Linked DNA regions of Oryctolagus cuniculus. The protein of the gene in region 4 interacts with the protein of the main gene of each other region in a pairwise test. Links are inferred from orthologs where the notes say so. Each region holds a gene or a part of one and is shown on either strand. Other genes may lie near its edges.

The links.
Region 1: the proteins of ARHGEF11 (region 4) and PLXNB3 interact in a two-hybrid assay, tested with the Homo sapiens proteins (2 studies listed by BioGRID and IntAct). The link is inferred for Oryctolagus cuniculus from reciprocal best matches to the Homo sapiens genes ARHGEF11 and PLXNB3.
Region 2: the proteins of ARHGEF11 (region 4) and PLXNB2 interact in a two-hybrid assay, tested with the Homo sapiens proteins (2 studies listed by BioGRID). The link is inferred for Oryctolagus cuniculus from reciprocal best matches to the Homo sapiens genes ARHGEF11 and PLXNB2.
Region 3: the proteins of ARHGEF11 (region 4) and PLXNB1 interact in a two-hybrid assay, tested with the Homo sapiens proteins (2 studies listed by BioGRID). The link is inferred for Oryctolagus cuniculus from reciprocal best matches to the Homo sapiens genes ARHGEF11 and PLXNB1.

Annotation. Positions count from the first base shown.
Region 1 is NC_091453.1:132,124,033-132,128,125, forward strand, and holds the start of PLXNB3 (plexin-B3), read left to right. Parts: upstream 1-1,264; 5' UTR 1,265-1,403; intron 1,404-2,299; exon of another isoform or gene 2,300-2,366; intron 2,367-2,590; 5' UTR 2,591-2,707; intron 2,708-3,750; 5' UTR 3,751-3,759; coding exon 3,760-4,093. UniProt on the Homo sapiens protein: Receptor for SEMA5A that plays a role in axon guidance, invasive growth and cell migration. Stimulates neurite outgrowth and mediates Ca(2+)/Mg(2+)-dependent cell aggregation.
Region 2 is NC_091442.1:123,247,763-123,251,771, forward strand, and holds the start of PLXNB2 (plexin-B2), read right to left. Parts: upstream 2,814-4,009; 5' UTR 2,668-2,813; intron 1,656-2,667; exon of another isoform or gene 1,355-1,655; intron 1-1,354.
Region 3 is NC_091441.1:100,640,847-100,644,405, reverse strand, and holds part of PLXNB1 (plexin-B1), read right to left. Parts: intron 3,481-3,559; coding exon 3,375-3,480; intron 3,237-3,374; coding exon 3,100-3,236; intron 2,912-3,099; coding exon 2,735-2,911; intron 2,602-2,734; coding exon 2,430-2,601; intron 2,305-2,429; coding exon 2,062-2,304; intron 1,559-2,061; coding exon 1,382-1,558; intron 1,290-1,381; coding exon 1,141-1,289; intron 725-1,140; coding exon 624-724; intron 531-623; coding exon 313-530; intron 219-312; coding exon 40-218; intron 1-39. UniProt on the Homo sapiens protein: Receptor for SEMA4D. Plays a role in GABAergic synapse development. Mediates SEMA4A- and SEMA4D-dependent inhibitory synapse development. Plays a role in RHOA activation and subsequent changes of the actin cytoskeleton.
Region 4 is NC_091438.1:41,862,949-41,866,507, reverse strand, and holds part of ARHGEF11 (rho guanine nucleotide exchange factor 11), read right to left. Parts: intron 3,538-3,559; coding exon 3,441-3,537; intron 3,281-3,440; coding exon 3,158-3,280; intron 323-3,157; coding exon 299-322; intron 1-298. UniProt on the Homo sapiens protein: May play a role in the regulation of RhoA GTPase by guanine nucleotide-binding alpha-12 (GNA12) and alpha-13 (GNA13). Acts as guanine nucleotide exchange factor (GEF) for RhoA GTPase and may act as GTPase-activating protein (GAP) for GNA12 and GNA13.

The DNA.
Region 1 (4,093 bases), on a different chromosome or scaffold from region 4:
CTGGGAAAGCAGCACAGGATGACCCAAGACCTTGGGCCCCTGCACCCATGTGGGAGACCCAGATGAAGCTTCAGGTCCCTGGCTTCAGCCTGGCCATTGCAGTCACTTGGAGAATGATCCATTGGATGGAAGTGTCCCCCACCCCACCCCCCCCCAGCCTCTCTAACTCTGACTTTCAAATAAATAAATCAATCTCTTAAAAAAAAGACACACCTACATCTGGGCAACTTTTTTATTCTGTGGTGTTCGAAGGAACTAAACATCTGCTGGGCCTTCAGCCTGTGGGTCCCTCTGCCTCGGCCTCATCCCCAGACCCCTTCAAGTCCTGTTAGTGACCTGTGCCACCTCCAGTGCACAAACACAGCTTCTGGCCTCAACAGCCCAGCGGCCTCATCGGCACCTCTGCCTTACTGTCCTCCACTCCCCACCTGCACGGTCTCCTGGCTTTTCCTGCCTTTGCCTCCTCCCCACCATGCAACCCCCTCTGTGACTGCAGACCTGGGCACCCATATGCCAAGTTTCATGCTTCGAGGCTACCTACCCTGATGGTCTAGTATGGGGGCCTGTCCTGTGGTTAACACATGGTCTTTTAAAAAAATGAATTGTGCACTTTTAAATGGCTGGAACTTGCGGTATATAAATTATTTCTAATTTTTAAAAAATATTTGACTTATTTATTTGAGAGGTAGAGTTAGAGAGAGAGAGAGAGAGAGAGAGGTCTTCCATCTGCTGGTTCACTGCCCCGATGGCTGCAACGGCTGGAGCTGTGCCGATCCAAAGCCAGGAGCCAGGAGCTTCTTCCAGGTCTCCCACACAGGCGCAGGGGCGCAAGCACTTGGGCCATCTTCTACTGCTTTCCCAGGCCATAGCAGAGAGCTGGATTGGAAGAGCAGCAGCCAGGAGTTGAACTGGCGCCCATATGGGAGGGATTCCAGCACCGCGAGCAGAGGCTTAGCTCACTGCACCACAGCACTGGCCGCAACAAGTAGTCTTGCCTCTGACACACTTGTGCTCCAGTTTCCCAACCTGTGAGCCAGGCTTGCTGGGAGGAGTAAATGTGCTAACACTCACACCACGCTGTTTCCGGGTTACTCTAGTGACAGCACCTAGTAGGCACTTCGTGGAAGCTTACAGAATGCCCACATATGGAGGGCGGGGCACCGCCACCCTCGCCTGCGGTCAGTCCTCTGCCATGCCTGCCTCGGCCAGCAGAGGGAAGCAGCGCCCTGCCCTGCAGTGTCGGGCAAAGGGGCGGGCTGGGAGGGGCTGGACCGCCCGGCCGGCCCCGCGGGGATGAGACGGGCTAGACGCGACTGCATTGTGGGGAGGGAGGCTGGGGCTGCTCGGCGACGCAGTCTTGGCGCTGCCAGCTGCTGCTTGGTCCCCGCCGGCAGCCCGCCCAGGTAGGCAGGAGCCGGGGCTGGCGCGGGCACGGGGCGCTGCGACCGCCAGGGCGAGGGGTGCCGCGGCGGGGCGTGCTCGCACTGAGGAGCAGCTGGGCTCAGGCGAGGGCGCACAGGAGCCACCCAGGCGCTAAGCCCTCACCTCCCCACACTGGTGACCTCCCACCAGGGGGTGGCCCTGGCACCAGGAGGTTGGGAACAGGGGCTTCCGACCCCAAATAGGAGCCAGTGCCAGCCCTGGGTAGGGTGCAGAGCAGGGAGGCTGCCGGCCTGGCTCCCCACCCCCACAGCCACCCAACTGGCCCAGCCAGGTGGCAGCAGCCCGCCCTGCCCCTCACCCTGGAGCCTGCTGCCATGCACTGTGGGGGAGGCGGAGACCCCAACCCAACCACACCTGTGCCTGTACCACGGGCCCTGTGGCTCTCCATTCCCTACCGGCAACATGGGTGGTGGGGGTTGGCAGCGGGGGCAGACCCAGCCACGGGTTGGGGTCCGGGTGACTGAGTGTCCTCCACGCCCCTTGTGCAGCATCCTTCACTGGTACCGCCCGCTACCACCACACTGCACCTGGCACGGCTCAGGGCTCTGTGCTCCTTGGCCAGTCTTCCAGCGGGCGGGGGGCGGGGGCGAAGGTCTTCTGGACGAACTGCCTTTGTCAGCACCTCCTCTGCCCTCAGCCAGACAAAGGCTGGCATTGAGGGCCAGGGCTGGCACGGCGACCAGGCACCAAGGCTACCAAGGCTGAGACTGGCCCTGTCCCGGGGACTCTGAGGCCTACCCCTGTGCCCTTCACAGGGACCCAGGGGGCTGGGGGGAGGGGCGCCCACGGCGGGCACAGCGTGATGAGGCCAGATGGGGAGGGCTGACAGCAGGAAACCCTGTCCCTTTGTCCCTAGATCCTAGGGGGTGTCTCCTGGGGGCGTGGTGTGGCAGGGAGCCCCCGTGCGGAGCAGCCGAGTGGGGGTAAGAGCACCAGATAGTGGGTCCCTGGTCTGGGCCTCCGGACAGAGGGGACATTGTTGGGGTGGAGGCAGGGCTGCTTTGGCCCGGCCACTAGTGACAAAGCTGCCAGCTGTGGTGGAGCCCGGTCGGCAGGCCCTTGCCCTCCCCCCCCCCCGCCCAGTCCTCTTCCTCCCCCAGGGCCGGCATGAATGGGGCTGAGCCTTGACTGTCTCCCTCCCACTCAGGACAATGCCCCCCACAGCCATCTTGCGCCTGTCCCCACTGCCCTCGGGCAGCTGAGCTGAGGAGCTGGAGCAGGCCACCCGCCCTGGGCTAGCCCTCTGCTGGAGCCCTTCCTGCCGGTAAGTGCCTGGGTCCCGTGTCCCCCAAAGATGTCCCTAGGAGGGAAGGGCCCCAGCAGACACTGCCACCAACTTCCTGTCTGTGCTCCCGAGATAAGGGGCTTGGGGCGCTGCCCTGGGCCTGGGTGGCACATGCCCACACGGCCAGGCGTGTGCACACTGGCTCAGCTTAGGATCTGGGCCTCAGGCTACTGTCCCCTTTCCAGGGGCTCTGCCCGCAGTGAGGTGGTGGCCGCAGCAGGAGAGGCTGGATCCCCTCCCCCTCACTCCCCACCGCACGCTCTGACCTCCGCGCAGCACCCTCCCCAGGTCTCCCCCACCCCTGCCCTGACCACCCCCATTCCCTGCCACCTCCGGACCCGTGCGCCAGTGTCTCAGCCAGCAGCTCCCAGCTGCCTCAGTTTCCCCCCACGCTCCCTCTTGCAGCTGTCCGGGGCGGGTTTTCTCTGCCTGGCCCTCGTGTTGTGCGTGTCCCCACTTACTGCATGGGCCTCCCGGCTCGTCTGTGAGGACATGGTTCCCCCACTCTGTGCCGCCCCACATCCTACTCCCACGCCGGGGCTGGGCGTCCCGGCTTCATTGCATCCCTGCCTCCTCACGCCACGGTGGCTCAGCTCTGCAGCCCGGGCCCTCTGTCACTCACGGTGCCTGCGTTCCTGCATGCGTGGCTTTGCAGGATCTGCCCTCTCTCCCACAATCCAGACGCCTGTCAAGTTGAGATGAAAGAATCCCTTCCTCCCCGGCTCGGCTCGCAGCACGGGGTGCGCCCTCCCCCACTCTCTTTGTCCTTCCTCAGTACCGCCTCTACCTCTGCCTCTCTCTCTCTCTCCCCCTCTGTCTCTCAGCCTCCCCACCCCCTCCCTCTCTCTCCCCGGGAGTCCCTGGCCCCCCTGTCCACCCGCCTGCCCCTGTCTCAGCCCTGCTTTCGGCCCCCTCTGTCCTGGCCCATTGCCCAGACTCGTGCCTTTGGGGAGTGTCATTGTGCCCCCTGGGAGCCGGTGGCTCCCTCCCAATGGGCCCCAGGCTGCCTGGCTCTCTCCTAGGCGCCTGTGATGGCTCCCTGGCCTCCGTTTGGCCTTGGCCTCCTGCTGCTGCTGCTTCTACTGCTGCTGCTGTCCCCAGAGCCACTGCCTTTGACTGGAGCTCACCGCTTCTCGGCCCCCAACACCACCTTCAACCACCTGGCGCTGGCCCCGGGCCGCGGTACACTCTACGTGGGCGCCGTGAACCACCTCTTCCAGCTGAGCCCTGAGCTGCAGCTCGAGGCGGTGGCTGTCACCGGGCCCGTCGCTGACAGTCCCGACTGCCTGCCGTTCCGGGACCCAGCCGAGTGCCCGCAGGCCCAGCTCACTGACAACGCCAACCAGCTGCTGGTGGTGAGCAGCC
Region 2 (4,009 bases), on a different chromosome or scaffold from region 4:
TTCCATCTGTGCCTGACCAAGATAAGGTGGAAGGGCCAGGAAGGCCACTAAGTCGGGGCACAGGGGGCCCTAGGCAGCTGTGAGCAGGGTCCCTGTCTGGTTAGCAGAGGGGGTGGGGAGAGGCAGGAGCCTGTGTCAGGGGATATGAAACCACGGAGGGGAAGAAGGCAGAGGAACCACATGCCCTGGAAAGAAGAGGGGACCGGGGGCCCCTCCCACCCCCTCCATCACAGGTTCTGACCTGCCCGTCTCTGCCCAGAATTAGTCAGAGGCCCCACCCCACACACAAATAGCTGTGACCACACGGGGAGAGACTGTGCCCAGCTTCCCTGTCCCTGCACCCACAGAACAGAGGCTGGAGCGAGGGGCTGCTGCTCCGGGGCCCTCTGAGGCCAGGCCTGGGTTTCAGTGCCCACCAGTTCACCCCCGTCTCCCTGGCCCCCTTCCAAGGCAGCAGCAGGAAAGAGAGGCTTAGCCCTGCAGCCAGGGGGCCAGGGCAGAGACCAGCCTGTGGTGGGAGGGGCTCCCGGCAGCCCGCACAGCCCTGCGCCCCTCAGAGGAGGGGAAGGCACAGCCGCCCCCCACCAGGGCACCCCCTGCCCACTCCAACATCCTCTGCACCCCCGCGGGGCCAGGCCCAGCTGAAGCCCCAGGTTGGTCTAGGTCCTGGGGCCTCTGCCATATGGACACACTGGCAGCTGCAAGCCCACCCAGTGCCTATCCAGTCCTATCCCTTCTGCTCCACTTGCCTGGGCAGGGGGCACGGCAAGTCCCCCGCCTCCTGCACGTGGGCCCCAGCTGCCGGCTCTGCCTCCCCACTGCAGTCCCTTCGTAGCCTGCTAGGCACAGAACCACAGGCACACCCAGGGACGGCCCCAGGGAGCAGCTCACAGCAGGGACCCAGCTGTGGCCTCAGTCTCCCCACCTGTGGGCCGGGTTGACAGGGACCACATGCAAGTACAGCAGTCCACAGACAAGGGCTGGGCTGGGGAGGGCCTCAGTCCCTCAGCTGCCGACCAGCAGACAAGACGGGGGGGGGGGGGGCCCTCCAGCCCGGCAGGCTGTTCCCTTTAACCACAACCCTGCCAAACTCGGGGTGAGAAGAGGAGCAAGGCTCAGGGGCTCTCGAAGCCAGGGCTCCCCTGGCTGAGAGCGCCTTCTGCCCACCGCCTCCCCTGGAGGGGCCTGGGCCCCCTGCAAGGCTGAGCAGGGCCCACCGGAGCTGACACCGGGGCCTTCTCCAATCCAGGGGTGACGCATCGCCTCCTGCCCCACCCCCAGCCGGTCTGAGCAGCCTCAGGAGGGGAGGAGCTGCCCAGACTCGCCCGGTCTCCCTCCAGGGGTTCTCACCCACCGCCCGGAAATGGATCCTTCTCCCACGGCTGCAGGCTGCGGCCTTTCCCTCTCGGGTGGCTGGACACGGCTGGATAATCCAAAATAATTCCATCTTGGCAGGCAGCCGGCGGGGGAGGGGGGCCTCACATTCCAAACTCAGTAACTTCCCTGGCCTCCTGCAGCCGGGAGCCCCCGGCCAGACCTCAGACGGAGGCGGCGTCCGGAGGTATGGCGGGGGTGTGAGCGGAGGTGTGGGAGCTGGCTCGGGCCAGCCAGGCCCACCTGTTTGCTGCTGTCTTCTCCCGGACACTAAAAGCTGACACAGCACGGAGATAGCAGCGAGCTGACCGCCCTCCTCCCCTCCGGGCAGGGGCGGGGCTGCTGTCCAGCCCCCAGGGAAGCATCTGGGCTCGGGGTCTCGAGCTGTCACCTGGAGAGCCCTCCGCACGGGGTGGGGGGGGCACAAGCCAGACTGGAGGAGGGAGTTTCCAGCCTCACCCCCACTTCTGGCTTCTGCCACAGGTCATGGCAGGCACACACAGCCTTCCTTCCTTATCCAAGGAGCTGGGAAAGCTCCAGGGCTCCTGAGGTCAAAGACTCCCATACAGGACAGGCAGGATGCCCCCCCACAGCCAGAGCTCTGCCGAACAGCCTGAGGACAGAGGTGGCGGGAAGGGTCTATCCAGGAGGGCTTCCTGCAGGAGGAGGCATGTGGAGGTGCAGCACCAGTCGGTGAAGGGCAAGGCCAAACCACCGAACACACCCCCACCCGCCAGCCAGGTCTTAGACTTCCTGGGTCCCAGGTGCCCACCCAACGGGAACCACACCAGGAACCGGAGACACCCCGCGGGAAGCAGGCTCAGGCCTGGGAGCTGCGCACACACTGGGTGCGGGTCTCTCCCACTCCCGCACCCCTGCCAAGGCCGGACCGCGGGGAAGCCTGGGCGAAGTCGGCAGTCCGCGAGGGCTGCGCGGGAGGCTGGGCCCGGGGCCCATACACGGCCGGGACCCCCCTCGCTCTGGCGCGGATCTCCGCGCCTGAGGAGGCGGGGGCGTGGGTGGGGCGGAGGATCCGGAACCAGACACGGTCCGGAGCGGCTCCGAGGGACGCGGGCCACCGCGTCCCCGGCCGCCACCTGGAGGCGCGTGGGGCGGGGGCAGCCGCTGCAGCCGCGGGACCCAGACGGCGGCCCAGGCCCCAGCCGCGCTCCGCCGAGCCGCAGCCGCCTCCCGGTCGCGCGCCGGAGCGCGTCGGGCCAGGCGGGGCGGCGCTGACGGCGGAGCCCCCAGCCCAGCTAAGCGGCCCCGCAGGCCCCGGCCCCGAGCTCGTACCTGCACGTCGGCCGCCGAGGCTCGATGGCGCCCGGGCCGCGTTCGCCGCTGCGCTCCGGCCCGCGCGGCTGCCATGGAGACGGGCCTTTGTGTGGCCGAGGAGGGGCCGGAGCGCGCGGGAGCCGCCGGCCCCGCCCCCGACGGGGGAGGGCGAGGGCCGGCGGGGGAGGGGCGGGGGCCGGCGGGGGAGGGGCGGGAGGGGGCGGCGACGGCTGAGCTCGCGGCGCGCCCCGGAGCCCCCAGGCCTGGCGCCCTCGCGCGCGGCCTCGCCGGGAGGTTGGGCGCGGGCTCGGGCCCGCCCTGTCGCTGTCAGGGTCTCCCCCGGCCTAGGCACCACTTCGGGGACGCCCCCTGGGCTCGGCACTAGGGCAGCGCTTCGGCCCCGCCCGCACGAAGGTCCCTAGGGCACCTGCGGGCGCTAACCCACCCCCAGATTGGGCGCAGGCTGGCTGCACTCGGGGCCGCTGGACCTGGCCCCTTTCAGCTGCCCCCAGCCTCTTAGGGCAGAGGACACCTGGGGGCATCCTGGCGGCGCAGCCAGCACCCCACGTCGGCGCCTGGCTGGAGACCCTGCTGCTGAGCGTCCCCTCCGGCTCCCAGGTCGATGCCCCAAGTGCTTGGGCCCCTAACCCCACGCAGAGGTCCCGGCCTCGGGCTTTGGCCTGCCCCTGCCCTGCCCTGCCCTGCTTGCGACCGCTGGAGAGCGAACCAACGGATGGAAAAGCGGTCGCTTTGCCTTTCAAATTAATGAATAAATAAGTGTCAAAAAAACCAACCAACCTATGTCTCCACCTGCTGCCTTCCCGCTCCCCCAGCCCAGCACATCTGGGCCTTCCTGGGCAGCTGGAGACCCAGCGCCGTCCTCCAGGGGCTAGGGGTGGGTGGAAGGAAACCACTCTTCCTGGGGACCTGCCATGCCCCACAGCATCCACACCTTGGTGCCCGTCCCCTCTGGCTCCTGCAGCCCCTCCCCCCAGCTTTGTACAATTCCTCCACCCCTACCCCCCGACCCTGGGGACCTGCCCCCAATCCTGGATCCAGGACTCCCAGAGGCAGACAAAGCCTGGATGAAATCTGATAAGACCCGGCCACTCAGTTCTGGCCTCTCTGCCCTCCGCTGTCCCTGCCCAGACCTTCTCCCCAGTCCTGAACCACAGTCTACACATGGCCACCCTGCCCCAACGGCAAGGGACCCCAAAATTACCAGTGTCTCACCGGGGCTGCCAAGTTTTTATCAAAAAAGGAAGTTAGAAGACAAGCATTGTCACAAAAGGCCATTTTAATACCAAAAGATGTGGGGAGGCCAGCATCCCAGACTCAAAGGCGATCTTTAAATAGCAGG
Region 3 (3,559 bases), on a different chromosome or scaffold from region 4:
CGCCCAACGCCCCCCCCCCCCCCCCCGCAAGCCACGGACCTGCGCAACATCAGCTTCGGGTTCTTGGCCACATACTGGGCCACCAGGTCGCTGAGCAGGGTGCGCAGGATGTCGGTGAAGTACTCGAGCTTGCCGTGCAGCGCCACGGTGAGCAGGGAGGCCACGTAGGCGCGGTCCCGGGCCGAGAAGGTGCGCTGGCTCTCCAGCGTGTGGATGAACTGCAGCCGGAGAGAGCGCCGGCTTCAGGAACAGTGGGAAGCCAAGGCCAAGGCCAGGGCCGGGCCAGGGAGGAGGAGGAGGAGGGGGAGGCACCTTGGTGAGGAAGAGCTTGCTGTTGAGCAGGTTGGAAAGCTGCCCCAGCCCTTGCTCCACCGTGGGCCGCCTGCTCTCGGGCACGCCCAGGTCCCGGTGCAAGGGCGACTCCCGGTGGCCGGGGAAGAAGACCCTCTCGGCGTAGACCCTGTAGTCCAGGAAGGGGATGCCGCTGCCCAGGAGGTCGCTCGTGAGATCCGTCATCTCGGTCATGAGGTCTGTGGAGCAGCAGGGGCTGGGTTTGGCGCATGCGCCGGGAGCAGCTGGGGCGGGGCTGGGGTGGGGGCGAGGGGCTGCGCCCACAGCCTCACCGGTGAACTCCTTCTTGCAGCGGTCACGCACGCTGCTCTCCAGGTTCTCCAGCTGGATCTGGACTTTCTTATAGTCCCTCAGGGCCTGCTTGCTCTTCCTCCTGCTCACACCGAGGTCGGCGGGGATGGCCGGAGGGGCCTGAAGCCCTGCTGGGTCCCACTTGGCCCAGGCACACCCTGGCCTCCCCCAGGCCAGCCCAGCCCAGCTAGCCCAAAACAATTTAGCCTGTCCCATCCCCGTCAAGTCACTGCCTCCCATGCCCTGTGGGACCTGGCACAGTGGAGCCCGGTGTGATCACTATGGCACCCAGGCCCAAGCCCGCCCACAGCCTACTTCTGTAACTACAGATCGTAGCCACCCGGGTGGTTCCACCCTGTCCGTGGCCGCTCTCATGCCAGGTGGCAGATTTGAGTAGTTGCCACAGAGACCACCAGGCCCACCAAGCCAAAAAAATTAGCCCCTGGCCCACTCCCCTGGTCTGTTCTCCCTCGGCCAGACACACCTGGCCACACCCACCTGTACATAAGGACGATGATGATGACGCCCAGGGCCAGAAGTGAGGTGCCCACTCCTAAGCCCACTTGGGCTGCCACAGGGAACGCCACGGGGCTCTCGCCGTCATACTGCACGTGGCCCAAGGAGAAGCGCAGGTTCCCCATCTGCACCTGGATACGGAGGCACCGGTCAACAGGGATCCAGCACACGCCCGACGCCCAGCGCAGCCCAGCGCAGCCCAGCCCGGGACCTGCCCACTGACTGTGAACTCGGGCAACGCATCGGGCGCCTCTCGGAGGGCGAGGTGCCGTGGCAGGGGCTGCTCCACGGGGGGCTCGCAGTACAGGTGGTACCGGGTCAAGGTCTTCACCACGCAGGGGCCGTCCCCTATCATGGCCACCACCTCCTCCTTGGATATCGCAAGGTCCAGATTCTCCCCCTGGCATATAGATGGGGTCACAGATCAGTCATGCCGAACCCAGATCCCAGCCCCTGGTCCCTCAGTACCACTCTGCACGCGGAGCCAACAGCCCGAGATGCCCTCCCACGCTGCCCAGGCTCCCAACACAACCTGAGTTCCCACTGCATCTACTGGTAGAGTAACCAGCTGTGGCCTCAGTGCCCACCTACTGCCAACCTCATGTGCATAACAGGTGCCCTTGCATCTGTGTGAGCCGGGCTGCCAGAGGAGAACCAGCCCAGCCACGGCACAGCTACCACGCACACCAAGCCAGACATACTGCCACTCAGACACCTGCCGGGGTCAGGGTCAGAGCCCCGCCCGTGCCAGGCCGGGCACCTTCACACTGGCCCCTTCTGCCCCGGCCACAGCAGGGATGAGGAGCCGCGGCCGCCCCGGCCTCGAACTCCACGGTCACAGCCTCTCTGCTGCGCAGCAGAGTTGTCCAACAGCGGGGGTGGAGGTGGGGAGATCCGCAGTACCTCCACGGAGAACACACTCCCGGGCTTGTGCCGGAAGGGTGCGGTGGGATCCTCGGGGTTGAGGGGCCGCAGGGTGGGGTCGGCCTCGTAGGAGAAGGGCGAGGGGTTCAGTGTTGCAAAATCGAACACCAGGTTGTCAAGAATGAACTCCACCCGGACCCGGCGGTCCTCGGGCAGGCCCGGGAGGGCGGGTGTGCGGCACACGATGAGCTGGGAGGAGTTCACGCTGCAGGGCTCCTCGAACTGGCAGGAGGAAGACAAGGAGGTAGGTGGGGGGGTGAGGAAAGGCGGGATGCACGCCCCTCGGCTGTCCTCGGGGCGCGGAGTGGGGGCCCCAGGGCAGGCAGGGGAGGCCCGGGGCGCCGTACGCGATGACCGCCACAGGAAGCTCCAGGGGCACATGGCGTCTCGGAGACCACACGGCGCCGCCGTCCCTGCCCGGGGCTGGGCCGCAGCGCTCCGGGGGCCACTGTGACTCGGATTCTTGGCGTCTGCACCACATCCAGGTTCTGGCCACGGACCCAGATCTCACGGCCGCCACTGAAACACAGCGTGTGAGCCACTGTGGCTCCTGTGACCAAGATCCAAGCTCAGCCTAGCCCCAGCCCCATGGCACGAGCCCATCTGTGGCACAGGGTTCCCAGCTCCGTGCAGCCACACCCTTGCCCAGCACCTGAGGAAGCTCTTGGTAGGGCCAGCAGAGGTGACATTGGGATCCGACGTGTACTTGAACTGGCCTTGTTGAAGCTTCCGCTCTGTGGCCCCAAACCACACCGCCACGGAGAGAGTGGCAGGCACCGGGTGTGGGCTGGTCTCGCACTGCAGCTGCTCCGACTGCTGCTCCAGCAGCCTGCAGAGGAGAGGAGAGGGAGGCAGGCCCAGCCCCCTCAGCACTCACGGCGTTCCTCCCCACCGCACCCTGCCGGCCCTAAAGGCTGCTCTCCCACCGCACCCCTCCCTCTGCTGCCTCCCCCACTTCCTCCCACCCCATTGTCTCCCTGGGGTGCATGGACTTCCACAAGAGAAAACGGTCCTCACAGGTGACACGGCTGCTCTCCAACCACCACTTGGATGTCCTCCAGCCGCCCGGTCAGAAGGTTGGAGCCGCGCAGGGTGAGGCGGGTGCCCCCGGCTCTGGGCCCATGGGTGGGGAAGATGGAACGCACCTGCGGGTCCTAGGGGAGGGAGAATAGCAAGAGATAGCCACCATCAGGCCTGGAACAGAGGCAGGGAGCCCAAGACAGACATGGCCCTGGGCGGAGCCCCAGGAAGGGGAAAGCCGCAGGCCGAGGGCGGGGCTCAGCAGTCAGCACCTGGTAGGCAAAGGCAACGTCGGAGACACCGCGTCCTCTTCCCTGCACCTCCACTGTGGCTGGGCCGGTCACCTCCTCCCCACTGGCCCCAGTGACGCACACGAGGCTGCAGGCACAGGGCAGGCTGGGGGTGCTGGGCTGCACTGCGGGCTCCCCAGACGGACCCAGCAGCCCCTGCCCCTGCA
Region 4 (3,559 bases):
GGATGAAGGGAAAGAGGTGGGAAGGAAGCCACAGGGCTGATTTGGGTGGAGAGGAGGAAGCAGGTATTAGGAGCCACTCACACCCTCAGGTGGTGATCCTTGAGCATTAGGGGCCTGGACCATCTCATGACCCCCACGTGTTACAATTACAGTCATCAGGGAATGAAACTTGCAGACCAGGCTCTTACGTGGTCTTACAAAGCTAGGGGCTCCCTGTAATGAGCAAAAATGCAAAGCACAGATCAGCCCCACACCTTCCCACCTTGAAAGCTGCAAATGAACCACATCATGGACTCACCTCCTATCTTCCTCGTATTTGGACCTGGAACAAAAGAAAAGAACAGATGACTCACACAGCAAAGACAGAGGCTTGTCGCCTGGGCAGAGGCTGGGAGGAGGGTAAGCTCTTTCTCAGAGGAAGGGCGGGTTGGTGGGGAGAAGGGAGGAGTATGATGAAAGGCCAGACTCTTGGTCACAGCTCTAGAGCCAGCTTGGGGCTCAGTAGGTGAGAGTTCTTCCCTCAAGGGACTCTAATGGCAGAGTGATGATGATGACAATGATGATGACGACAATGTCTTTCTAGTGAAATGGAAGGGCAATGTGGTAAACACAAGCTTCTCGCTTGCTATGTTTTTGGTGTCTGAAGTTATACAGAAAGAGGCTCCTTTTTGTACCCACCTAGGACTGAGTTAGAAGGGCAGAGGTGAGGGCTGGGCATTGTGGAGCAGTAGGTTAAGTCTCCATTCTGTATTGGAGGGCCTGGTTCAAGTCCCGACTACTCTGCTTTTGAATGATTCCTGCTAATGTACCTGGGAAGCAGCAGATAATGGCTCAAGTACTCGAGTCCCTGCCACCTGCCCAGGACACTTGGATGGAGTTCATGGCTCCTGGCTTTAGCCTGGCCCAGCCTTTACTGTTGGAGGCATTCGTGGAGTGAATCAGGGGATGGAAGATGTCCCTCTTTCTTTCTCTCTCCTTCTTCCTCAGTTTCTTATTCTGTCACTATGCCTTTCTTTTTAAGATTTTTTATTTATTTGAAAATCAGAGTTATGCAGAGGACAGGAGAGGAGGAGAGGAGGAGAGGAGGAGAGGAGAGGAGAGGAGAGGAGGTGGTGGGGGAGAGGACTTCTATCCGATGGTTCACTCCCTAATTGGCTGAAGCCAGGAGCCAGGAGCTTCTTCTGGTTCTCCCATGTGGATGCAGGGGCCCAAGGACTTGGGTCATCTTCTACTGCTTTCCCAGGCCATAGCAGAGGGCTGGATAGGAAGTGGAGCAGCCAGGACTCGAACCGGTGCCCATATGGGATGCTGGTGCTTCAGGCCAGGACATTAACCCACTGGGCCACAGCGCTGGCCCCTATGCCTTTCAAATAAATAAGTAAATCTTAAAAAAAATTAAAAAGAAGGGTTGGAGCATCACTGAGGCAGGAGGACAGAAGATGAGAAGGAAGCAACAATACCTTGAGACTGGATCCAAACAAATCTTTTTAGAAGACATAAATGGAAACAGCAGCATCTGAGTGTTCCCCACGGGCCAGGCATCATGCTAAGCTGTCTGTATATACTAACCCATCTAATGTCCAAATAGGCTCGGTCAGTCCTGCCTCCATCCTGGAGCTGGCTGAGCTGGTTTAGTGCCATCTGACTGCTAGGAAACCAAGGCTCAGAAAGATTCAGGGCTTGGCTGAGGGTCAGACGGTCAAGTCTGCAAAGCATTCCTGCTCTGTGTGATCTCATCCATCTCATCCCTGGCCAGACCTCCTCAAATGCCGGATTTGTGTATGGAACGCCTACCCGGTACTGTTTAACATGTCCTCATTTTCTATCTCAAAACTGCTCCCCTGTAACTGTCCCTATTCTGACTGCTGGTACCTTCGCCCTTTCAGTAGCTCAGACAGAAAGAGAAATCCTGAGGGTCTTCCTTGGTGCTTCTCTTTCCTCACTCCCCGCAGTCATGGTGGCTCTAGCATCAACATACACCTAGAGGGGACCTCTTTTCACAGCCTCCACCATTTCTCCCAGTCTGGTTGGCTGGCTGCCACACGCTGTCCTACAGAACCCTCGGCAGAGCCTTCCCCAGCTCTCCTGTCCTGGGCCCCATCTAGTCTCGCACAGCTCCAGTGGCTCTCACTCAGAGAAAAACCCAGAGTGGGTGTGGTTGTCCACAAGGCTCTGCACGGCCACCCCTCCTGTCCCCTCTGGCTTTATCAGGTTCCCTTGCCCTGTGGCTTGTCCGACTGTCCAGGTTAGACTCGCAACCCACGGGCTCTAGTTCTCCTGGTCCTCCCCAGCCTGCTCTACTTTCTCCTCCAGCACTTCTTTGTAACATACTACCCCATTACTTCTTTGTTAAGCACTAATGGCTCTTCCCATTACGATGTAAGCTCTGGAGAGGTAGGGCTGCTTTGTTCACTACTGCATCCCAGGAATGCCGGAGGCAGAACCACATTTGGTACAGGAGAGCCATGAAATTGAAACAGCAGCATTCCCAGAGGCTATGGAGATCATCCAGTCCAACTCTGATCATTCTGTACGTGGGGCCCAGCGAGATAAAATGGCTTGGCCAAGGTCATGCGTTTACTTAGTGAGAAGCAGTACTGGGGCAAAAAACTGCTAAGCCTGGAAATGTTCCCACAAAGCCTGTCACGTTGGGACTCATATCACAGGCACCCCTGACATTTAGAAAATGTCTCTAAAAGAGCATAGCAGGTGTGCCAGCAGCTCCTGAATCAGGTAACTTCAGATTTCTGCGATAATTAGTAAAAGTGATTCCATTTCCCTTAATGAAGTTCTGCAGAAGCTTTATCTATCAGAGACTCGCAGCGCTGGGCTCACGCTGTGTCAGACATGGTCTTAGAGGCAGGAAGGGAGGAAGTTTAGGAAGAGGGCTAGAAAGGAGAAGCAGAAAGCTCACCACATTCCTGGAGCCCAGTGCCTGTCATGACCACCATATTACAACAGGGAGCCCCAAGGTTCAGCAACCCCCATGCACGAGGGCAGCCCTCTGCCTAAGAAACCCAGCTCGCCCTGCACTTCAGGGGAAGGACAACCAGGCAAGAATAGCTAGAGGGAAGCTGGAAAAGAAACCCCTAAAACCTGTCAACCTGTTGGGCATATTTGGTGAGGGTGGGGGGTGGGAGGAGATCTAAAGACTCACAGAATATCTCCAAGGGCAGCCAGCTGCTTCTCGGCCACTTGGCGCTCTCGGAGAAGGTCCCCATCCAGGTCCAGCAGGTCATTTTCACCATACAGGCTGCCCAGCCCCAGAGTGCGTTTTGTTCTAAGCCAGAGAGATACACAGCAAGGAACAAATGTACAAACACTCCTTAGATGCACACCCAGGAGTGAGGCAAACATAAATACACACACACAGAGCGAGGGAAGGGCCAAGAGGCAGAGGTGCTAGGAGGTAGTGCAGGAGGGCAAGGACCCTGGCAAACCTGTAGTCGTGGATCTGTTCCTGGATCTCTGGCATGGCAGCCCCCTGGGCCTCACTGAGTGCACTGCGGACATCCTCACTGTTGCGCAGGCGCAGGTCTGTAGTGGGAACCCAGGGAAA